Linked DNA regions of Sus scrofa. The protein of the gene in region 2 purifies or fractionates together with the protein of the main gene of each other region. This does not show direct contact. Links are inferred from orthologs where the notes say so. Each region holds a gene or a part of one and is shown on either strand. Other genes may lie near its edges.

Region 1 (4,117 bases), on a different chromosome or scaffold from region 2:
AAGTTCGCTGAGCTTTCTTGATCTTGTTCTGCCTCCTAGCGACCGAATGGCTCATACAGCCCTAGGAGCGGAGGACAGGGGGGAAGAAGGGGGTCCTGAGGATCGGAATGGCTCCCGCCTCCTCTACGCACCCAGAAAATTAGAAAGGAGCGACCCCTGCACCCTCTTCAAACTGGTCCGTTAACCAAAGCCTGCCCTGAAACACGAGGAGAGAGGGGCCAACCCAACCCGCCTGGAGTGGCCCAGAATGGACCCGGGATGAAAGGGGGAAGGGAGGGGGGCAGCCCAGACTGCACGCCTCAGTCCGTCCTTTGAACCCCTAATGCATCCTTCCGAAGAAGGGCCCGGCTTTCCCGAGTGCTGCGAACACTGCCCTTCCTTCCCGCCGGTACCTGGCCGGGCTGTAACTTCACACCGCCGCGCGCCGCGTCTGCTCCGCATCCGGCGCGGCTGGGCGAGTGGGGGGCGGGGGAGAGCGGCGAGGGAGGGATGCGCGGGGGTGGGGAGAGGGAGGGCCCGCAACGTGCCCGGGCGGGGGAGCTTTCGAAGTATGTGACAAGTTCCAGGGCCCAGTGAAAAACTCAATTCCCTATGCGCAACCCCCCCCCCCAGACACACACCCCTTTTAAAAAAATACAGAGCTAGGTATAGGGTGGTCCTTTAAAATTGCAGCAAAAATTAAATTAAGGGTCAAGAATGAGGAGGGGAAGGGAAGTGGGCCCTCACGCCTTTCTTTCTCTTGCAGCCAAACTTTCCTAAGTATCCATCGCCTGCCTTTCCAGGCGCATTCTGTTAAGCCAGGAGACTGCTACCCACTCACCCACCCCAACCCCTCTTATACAGATTCACAAGGAAACACCACCACCCCCGCCCCCGCGTTCAAGTCTAGGTCCGAGGTAGAGAGCAAGAACCTAAGGGTGGGGTGCGTAGGGTCCTGGGGTCGAACACTCCCAAAATGCCCATTCCAACATACTACTCCTTTACCCCACCCCCACCCCCACTTGGCTTCGACGCTCTCAGGACCCGGGGGCTGGTGCCCAGTGCGGGTGGGAGGGGGGCCGGGAAAGCACGTGGTGACCTCCTCGCCGCCCAGAGCTGGAGGCAAGAGACGTCGGGGGTAGGGAGCGGACAGAACTAGCTTTTTCGGTTGCTTTGCTAAATAAAAATGCTTTGCAAAGCCGAGTTTCTCCCCAGACGATTTCGCAGCAGGGTTGGCCGGGAGGAGGTCTAGGCATTGTGCTGGGGCTCCAGGGTGGACCCTGAACCCGGCAGGCTCGGAGTTGCAGCACAGCCTTCCGCTGTGCAGGCGGACAGGCGGGCGAGCAAGCGGGCGGGCGGCGGGCGCTGGGTGGGCGATCCCGGGCGGGGCGGGGGCGCGGCGAGGCCCGGCAAGGCCCGGGCGAGGCCCGGCCACAGCCGCCGCCCGCTCCCGGGCTGCCGCGCAGTGCTCGGTCCTCTCTGTCTGTTTGTTGGCAGGAGACTCCCGCACACGCGGTGCTTGTAAACATTCAGACACGAGATTTTTCCCAATCAAAATCCACTTCCACTTTTTTTGAAAATCTTCCAAAAAATAGTAAGAGGAGGGAGTTCCTCGCTCCCTCTCCGTGCCGCCGGCGCTCTAAGTTTTCAACTAAAGGGGTTTTGAGGAGGGAGGGGTGGTAATTGTGTTTTTCCCCTCAATTAGAGAATGTGATATTTTTGCGGGGGGGGGGGCGAATCTAAGAGGAGAGCGTTGCAGAAAACGGCCGGCGGAGCGTTTTGCGTCAGTTGGAGGGCAAGAAATTTCACATTCTCTTGACCTGTTTTATTTATTTTGTTTTGTTTTGTTTTGTTTTGTTTTACACGTCTTCTCGCCGCCACTGAGGTTCGGCCGGGAGGAGCGGGCAGCAGCAACCCGGGAGGCGGTGATCGGGGTGCCCTCCCTCCCTCTCCCGCTCGCCCCCGGCCCTTGCTCCTGCCCTTCGGCGGCAGCGGCGGCGGCGCGGGAGGGCAAGCGCAAGGAGCCGGCACAAAAGGCAGCGGGACAAACACCCACCTCCGACCGGAACAAAAGGCAGCAGCGCCGGCCGCTTCTCCGGTCCTTCCCTGTCGCCCTCTCCCTACAGCCTCAGCCCCATTCCAGACTCGGCCGACTCCGGAGCGCCGGGGGCCCCCCTCCCACAATCCCACTTTCTCACTATTGTAGAGATGACTACTTTCCTCCGGTGCACGCTTTACCGTGAGAGCCCCGGTGTCCGAGGGCCAGTCTCACCTCTTTCCTCCCTAGGAATTGTTTTTTTAAGACTTGGGTCCCCACCCCCCGTTTTCCTTTCTACGGTGAGTGGAAGTAACCCCCCTTTTCCCCTCCGGTTCCCTCCCTTAGGTTTACACGAGAGTTGTTAGCATCCACAGCATTGTTCATTATTTTGCAAAATTGGAGGGGAAATCATTGCATTCCTTTTCGAAAAGCGAAATAAAGCAGCGGAAAGCAGGAAAGAGGAGGAGTCTTTTTTAATTTTTGTAAAATTAAATAAAATTGAAAGGTTCGTGCCACCCCAAAAGTATACATACGGCTATGTTTCGGGATGGGATGAGGTTGGTTTTCTGCCCCCCCCCAATCTCTTTTATCCCGACTCTCGGAGGTTTTTCTCGTGAAAAAAAAAAATTTAAATGCATGCACACACCCCTTTCTCCCCCTCTCTCTTGCTTCTCGTCCTGCGCGCTCTCGTGATTATTAATAATTATTATTACTATTATTGGGTTACTTACGCGAGAATTCCCGTTTGCTTAAGTGCTGGGGTTTGCCTTGCTTGCGGCGAGACATGGTGGGCTGCGGGGCGGGCGGCGGCGGCGGCGGCGGCGGCGGGCGGACGACGGCTCGGTTCACATCGGGAGAGCCGGGTTAGAAAGAAGGAGACTCCAGAGAAAATATCTTCATCAGTGCCTTTTGACATCCAAAATAAATTAGAAATAATACAAAGATGGCGCAGGGAAGATGAATTGTGGGAGAGCCGTCATGGCTTTTTTTTTTTTAAGCAAAAAAAAAAAAGAGAGAGAGAGAGAGAGAGAGCAGAGATAGAGGGAGAGAGAGAGAGAGAGAGAGAGAGATGAAAAAAATGGCAAAAGCCCCCCTGAGCTGCAAGTTCAAGTGCGGACGTGACGTCCCTGCGAACTTGAACGTCAGGAGTCTGGATGGACAGAGACACACAAAACATGGGCAGGGCGAGCAGGAGAGAAGGGGAGGAGGGAAGGGGAAGCTCACACCAATGGACACACATCAGGGGCTGGACATGAAAAAGAGACCAGGACAAGCCAATGGCCAGTGCGGGGCGGGGGAGGTGCGGGGCGGGGGGCTCCGCAGACGCCAGACGCGGCCCCCGGGGGAGGGGCGGGCGGAGGGGAGGGGGCTCTGGGGCCGCGGGCTCACCAGTGGCCGCAGCGAGCGCCGAGGCGGCGGCGTGGCCGGGAGAGAAGAAAGGGGCGGCGGGGCGGGGGGGGAGCAAGACGTACGCCCTGCTCCCCCCCGCACGCGGAACCTAAAATGAAAGATTATTTAAAATTAAAAAAATAAAAAAGCCAGAGTGTACGGGGAAGCTGCTGGGGCCGGGGAAGCGCGGGCGGAGGGAAGCCAGGTAGAGTTGTTCCCGGACACCCTCCTGCGTGCGCACACCCACTTCCCCTCTCCGCCGCAGCCGCAGCTGCGCTCGTGCCCCGCGTGGGGACGCCGGGGACCGAAGTAAAAGCTCTGAGCCCGCGGCTGCACTCTAGAAACTTTGCCGGAGAAGAGGATAGCAAAGAAAAACCACCCGAAGTTGAGAGCAGAGCCTCCAAGTTACAGCTCCGCTGCGGACGAGGGGAGGCGGGAGGGAGCGCGCGGCGAAGCAGAGTCCAGCTCAAGTTTGGAGGGTTGCGGGTCCGAAAGGACAGCGCCAGGGGCTCCGAGAGACAGGCGGCCTGGAGAGTCGGGGGAGGGCGGGGAAGGCGGTGCAGGCCGGGCCGGAGGGCCGGGAGGGCATCCCTCAGGCTAAGCCGGGGGTTGGGCCGGGGGGTGGGGGCTGCGGGGGAGACTCTCAACGCCTCGACAAGCTATCGGGTCTGAATGCAACTGGGAGCTGCGAGTCGAGGTTCTGAACGGATC
Region 2 (3,567 bases):
GCTGACACCGTGAGGGTTGAGGCAATGCTTGAGGCCGGACTAGAGGTTCACCCTGTGTTTGGGTCTGTGGTCTGGATCGGGTTCGATGTTGGGGTCGCCGTCAGGATCAGTGTGGAGCTTGGGGTGCCCTGAGCCAGTGGTGAGGGCGGGGTAGGTCCCCAGCCCTGATCCAGCCGCTGGCTGCTGCTGCCGCCACCGCTCCCTGCACTCACCTGCTCCCCGCGCCCTCAGCTCCTGGAGCAGGCGCTGGTGATCGAGGAGCAGCTGCGGCGGGCGGCCTACCTGAACCTATCACAGGAGCCGGCGCACCCCGCCATGGCCCTCCACGCCCGCTTCGCCGAGGCCGAGTGCCTGGCCGAGAGCCACCAGCACCTCTCCAAGGAGTCGTTGGCGGGGAACAAGCCGGCCAACGCCGTCCTGCACAAGGGTAAGGGCCGCGGCGGCCCCGCGCGGGGGAGGGCCCACAACGCTGCGTAAGTCTTCACCCCGCACCCTTCAAAATCTCCCCACCCCTCTGACCCCTTTACCCTCTGAACCACCCCCCTCTGACCTCTAACCCCCCCCCCACCTGGTACCCCCTTGGTTTTTGGCCTCTAGGATCTGTATAGCCAGCCCTCTCCCAGACCTAATAGCATTCACATCAGTGCCTAATAGAGGGGCCTCCCCCCAGCCTCCGTGAGACGGTGCCACGTCCCCTCCACAGGACGGAACTTCGCTGACCCCCACGCCTGCCATACTGCTAATAGCACCCTCTCTGGGGCCTCAGCCTGTGTACAGCCCAGCGAAGTCCTTGCCCCCAGTCCCACGAATTACACTTCCCACATCTCATTCACCCAGTGGGGCAGAAACCACCACCATCCCACCCTCTGACCCTACCCCACGAGACTTCCCTTTGACCTTCAACCCTTCCTCCCAGACCCTCTCACCCTGATAATAATAGATTACGTTCTGAAGCCCGCTCCCCAGCTAGTTCTATTCGAAGTAGTGACTGCCTCCTGGCCCCTGTAATTCCTGTTGTGATTCCTCGAATCTGTAATGCTGACCCTCTAACCTCCCTCCCCCTTATACACTCAGACCCGACTCCTGAAATCTCTGACACCACTTACCGCCTCCCACGCCTCCCGACTATCTCCTCCCCGTCACCCCAACCCCCAACCCTCAGTCTTCCAGTATGGGATGTTCTGACAACCCCCTGCCCCATGTCTTCCAATGTCCTGCCCTGTCTCCCCCTGTCCTTGCGTCTTTCTTTCCACCTGTCCTTTGTGATGATCTGGTCTCTGCCGCTTTACCTGACACTTCTTGTTCCCCCGAGCTGCTCTCTTCTTCTCTCTACTTCTGTCATTTCTTTGGTCTCTGATTCTTTGACCTCTGTCCTCGTCTCTCTGCTCCTTTCTCTCCATCTCTGACTATCTGTCCATCTGAATCCTCATCTCTTTTCCTGGCTCCATCTCTCCCTTTCCCTGTCTTTCTCTTGCCCTTCTTTCTCCGTGGCCCGGGCCCCAGTTCTGAACCAGCTGGAGGAGTTGCTGAGCGACATGAAGGCGGACGTGACCCGCCTGCCAGCCACGCTGTCCCGAATACCCCCCATCGCAGCCCGCCTTCAGATGTCCGAGCGCAGCATCCTCAGCCGGCTGGCCAGCAAGGGCACGGAGCCTCGCCCCACACCGGTAACCCTCTTTCCCCCTGACTCGTTTTCCCTGACTCCTCCTGCACACGCACAAACGCTTCCTCCGGAATGCTATACAATGTGGAAAAACGACTTGCTCGAACACACTCGTCGGCCTTGAGTCTCCCTGCCTGCGTGATGCCCCTCCGTAGTTCTGCAGTTTGGCCCTTGCTGTCTCCCCTACAGCTTCTTTCCTCAAAGACTGTGGACCTTCTAACTGCGGCTCGATCTCTCTTCCAGGCCTTCCCCCCGGGTCCCTACGCCACACCTCCGGGGTACGGGGCGGCCTTCAGCGCCGCACCCGTAGGGGCCCTGGCCGCCGCAGGCGCCAATTACAGCCAGATGCCTGCAGGGTCCTTCATCACAGGTCAGCTGGTAACGTCCTGCCTCCCACTCGTACTGGCCCTTTCCTAAGCTTCATCTCTGCTCAGCTGCCCTTTTCCTTGGCCAGCCCATCTCATTCCCTTGGAAGCATCCAGTGGTTTATGGAATGGAGTAGCTCTAGGCCAGGGATCAAACCCATCACCCCAGCAGTGACGTGGGCCACTGCCGTGACAAGGCCGGCTCCTTACCCCGCTGCACCCCAGAGGAACGCCTTTCCCATCCCTTTCCTCTCCTCTGTTGCTAGACTCAAAGACACCTAGCAGTTCTGTGGCTCGGTGCCTCTTAACATGGGTGACTTGAGGGAAAGAGAACGTGAAATCGGAAGGGCGTTACACTGAAACTTGGAATGTGTGGTCGCTGTCGATGATGGGGAGTGAAATAGGGACTGATGCTTCCTTATCCCCTTGTCCCCTTCCCAAACAGCCGCCACCAACGGCCCTCCAGTGCTGGTGAAGAAGGAGAAGGAAATGATGGGGGCGTTGGTGTCAGACGGGCTGGATCGGAAGGAGCCCCGAGCCGGGGAGGTGATCTGTATAGACGACTGACCGGATCCCAGACCTGCCCTTCACCCAGGCCTCGTTCCCGAGGCCGACCCCCAGCTCAGGCTCTGGGGCCTGCTGCCAGTCCTCCGCCTTCCCCACCCCTTGGGCCACCACTGGGCTAGGAGCCCGTTTGCCCCTCTCTCCCACTCTTTTCAGGAAGGGCCCTTTGTCTTTTCTACCCCACGCACCTTTCCCACCGCGCTTTGGAGACTGCTGGTGAGAAGAGGTCTGGGTGGGAGCTGGTGAGCAGGGTCCTCCAAGTACCTTTACCCCCACCGCCAAGCATACACAGCTTCCCGATCAGTGGTTGTGGGGAGGAAAGAGGTGGAGCCTCCCCAGTTTTTATTCCCAAAATATAAGCTCCACCTCCTGCAGAAGTGGGGAGTTAGCCTTGCCTGGCCTTTAGGAACTTCGGTGGGGAAAAGAGAGCCTTGAAGAGAGGAGGGGACTTTAGAGAGGGATGACAGTGAGCCCTGGGAGGGCGGAAGGGAAGAGGAGGGGCGGCTGCATGTTTCCCTCCCTCCCTCCCCGCAGATGGAGAGTGGAGCAGTTACAAGGGAGGGAGTCCGTTGCTGTTCAGCCTCAGAATAAAGGCGCTGTTCACTGGCTCAGTCACCTCCTGCGTACTGGCATCTTGTGTTGGGAATCTTACCCCATCCCTAGGGACCAAGGACTGCCCCTACAAAGAGACTAATAATTTGGGTGAATACTCCCTTAAGCCAAAGAGGAGCTCCCCAATCTGTCCTAGGGACCCACGTAATCTAGAAAGGGTGGCAGAGAACGCAATGGGCCAGACGTCGGGGGAGCCCCCAGCTTTGGGGCTCAGGTTCTTGGAGGACTTTTACCCTCCCTCCTGCAGACCTGGATACGGACTAAACTTGAGTGGGTCAGCCAGGGGGCCTAGTCAGGGGACTACCTTGCCTTTGGGACCAGAGCAAAATAGTGGAGGGCAGGCTGGGGAGACATGGGCACATC

The links. Proteins that work in one complex are often made in the same cells at the same time.
Region 1: the proteins of CHD3 (region 2) and BCL11A purify together in Homo sapiens (affinity purification with mass spectrometry; 3 studies listed by BioGRID). This does not show direct contact. The link is inferred for Sus scrofa from reciprocal best matches to the Homo sapiens genes CHD3 and BCL11A.

What each region holds. Positions count from the first base shown.
Region 1 is NC_010445.4:81,196,621-81,200,737, reverse strand, and holds the start of BCL11A (B-cell lymphoma/leukemia 11A), read right to left. Parts: upstream 2,853-4,117; 5' UTR 2,804-2,852; coding exon 2,749-2,803; intron 1,294-2,748; exon of another isoform or gene 442-1,293; coding exon of another isoform or gene 393-441; intron 1-392. UniProt on the Homo sapiens protein: Transcription factor. Associated with the BAF SWI/SNF chromatin remodeling complex. Binds to the 5'-TGACCA-3' sequence motif in regulatory regions of target genes, including a distal promoter of the HBG1 hemoglobin subunit gamma-1 gene.
Region 2 is NC_010454.4:53,159,496-53,163,062, forward strand, and holds part of CHD3 (chromodomain-helicase-DNA-binding protein 3), read left to right. Parts: intron 1-231; coding exon 232-473; intron 474-1,503; coding exon 1,504-1,667; intron 1,668-1,906; coding exon 1,907-2,033; intron 2,034-2,473; coding exon 2,474-2,714; 3' UTR 2,715-3,567.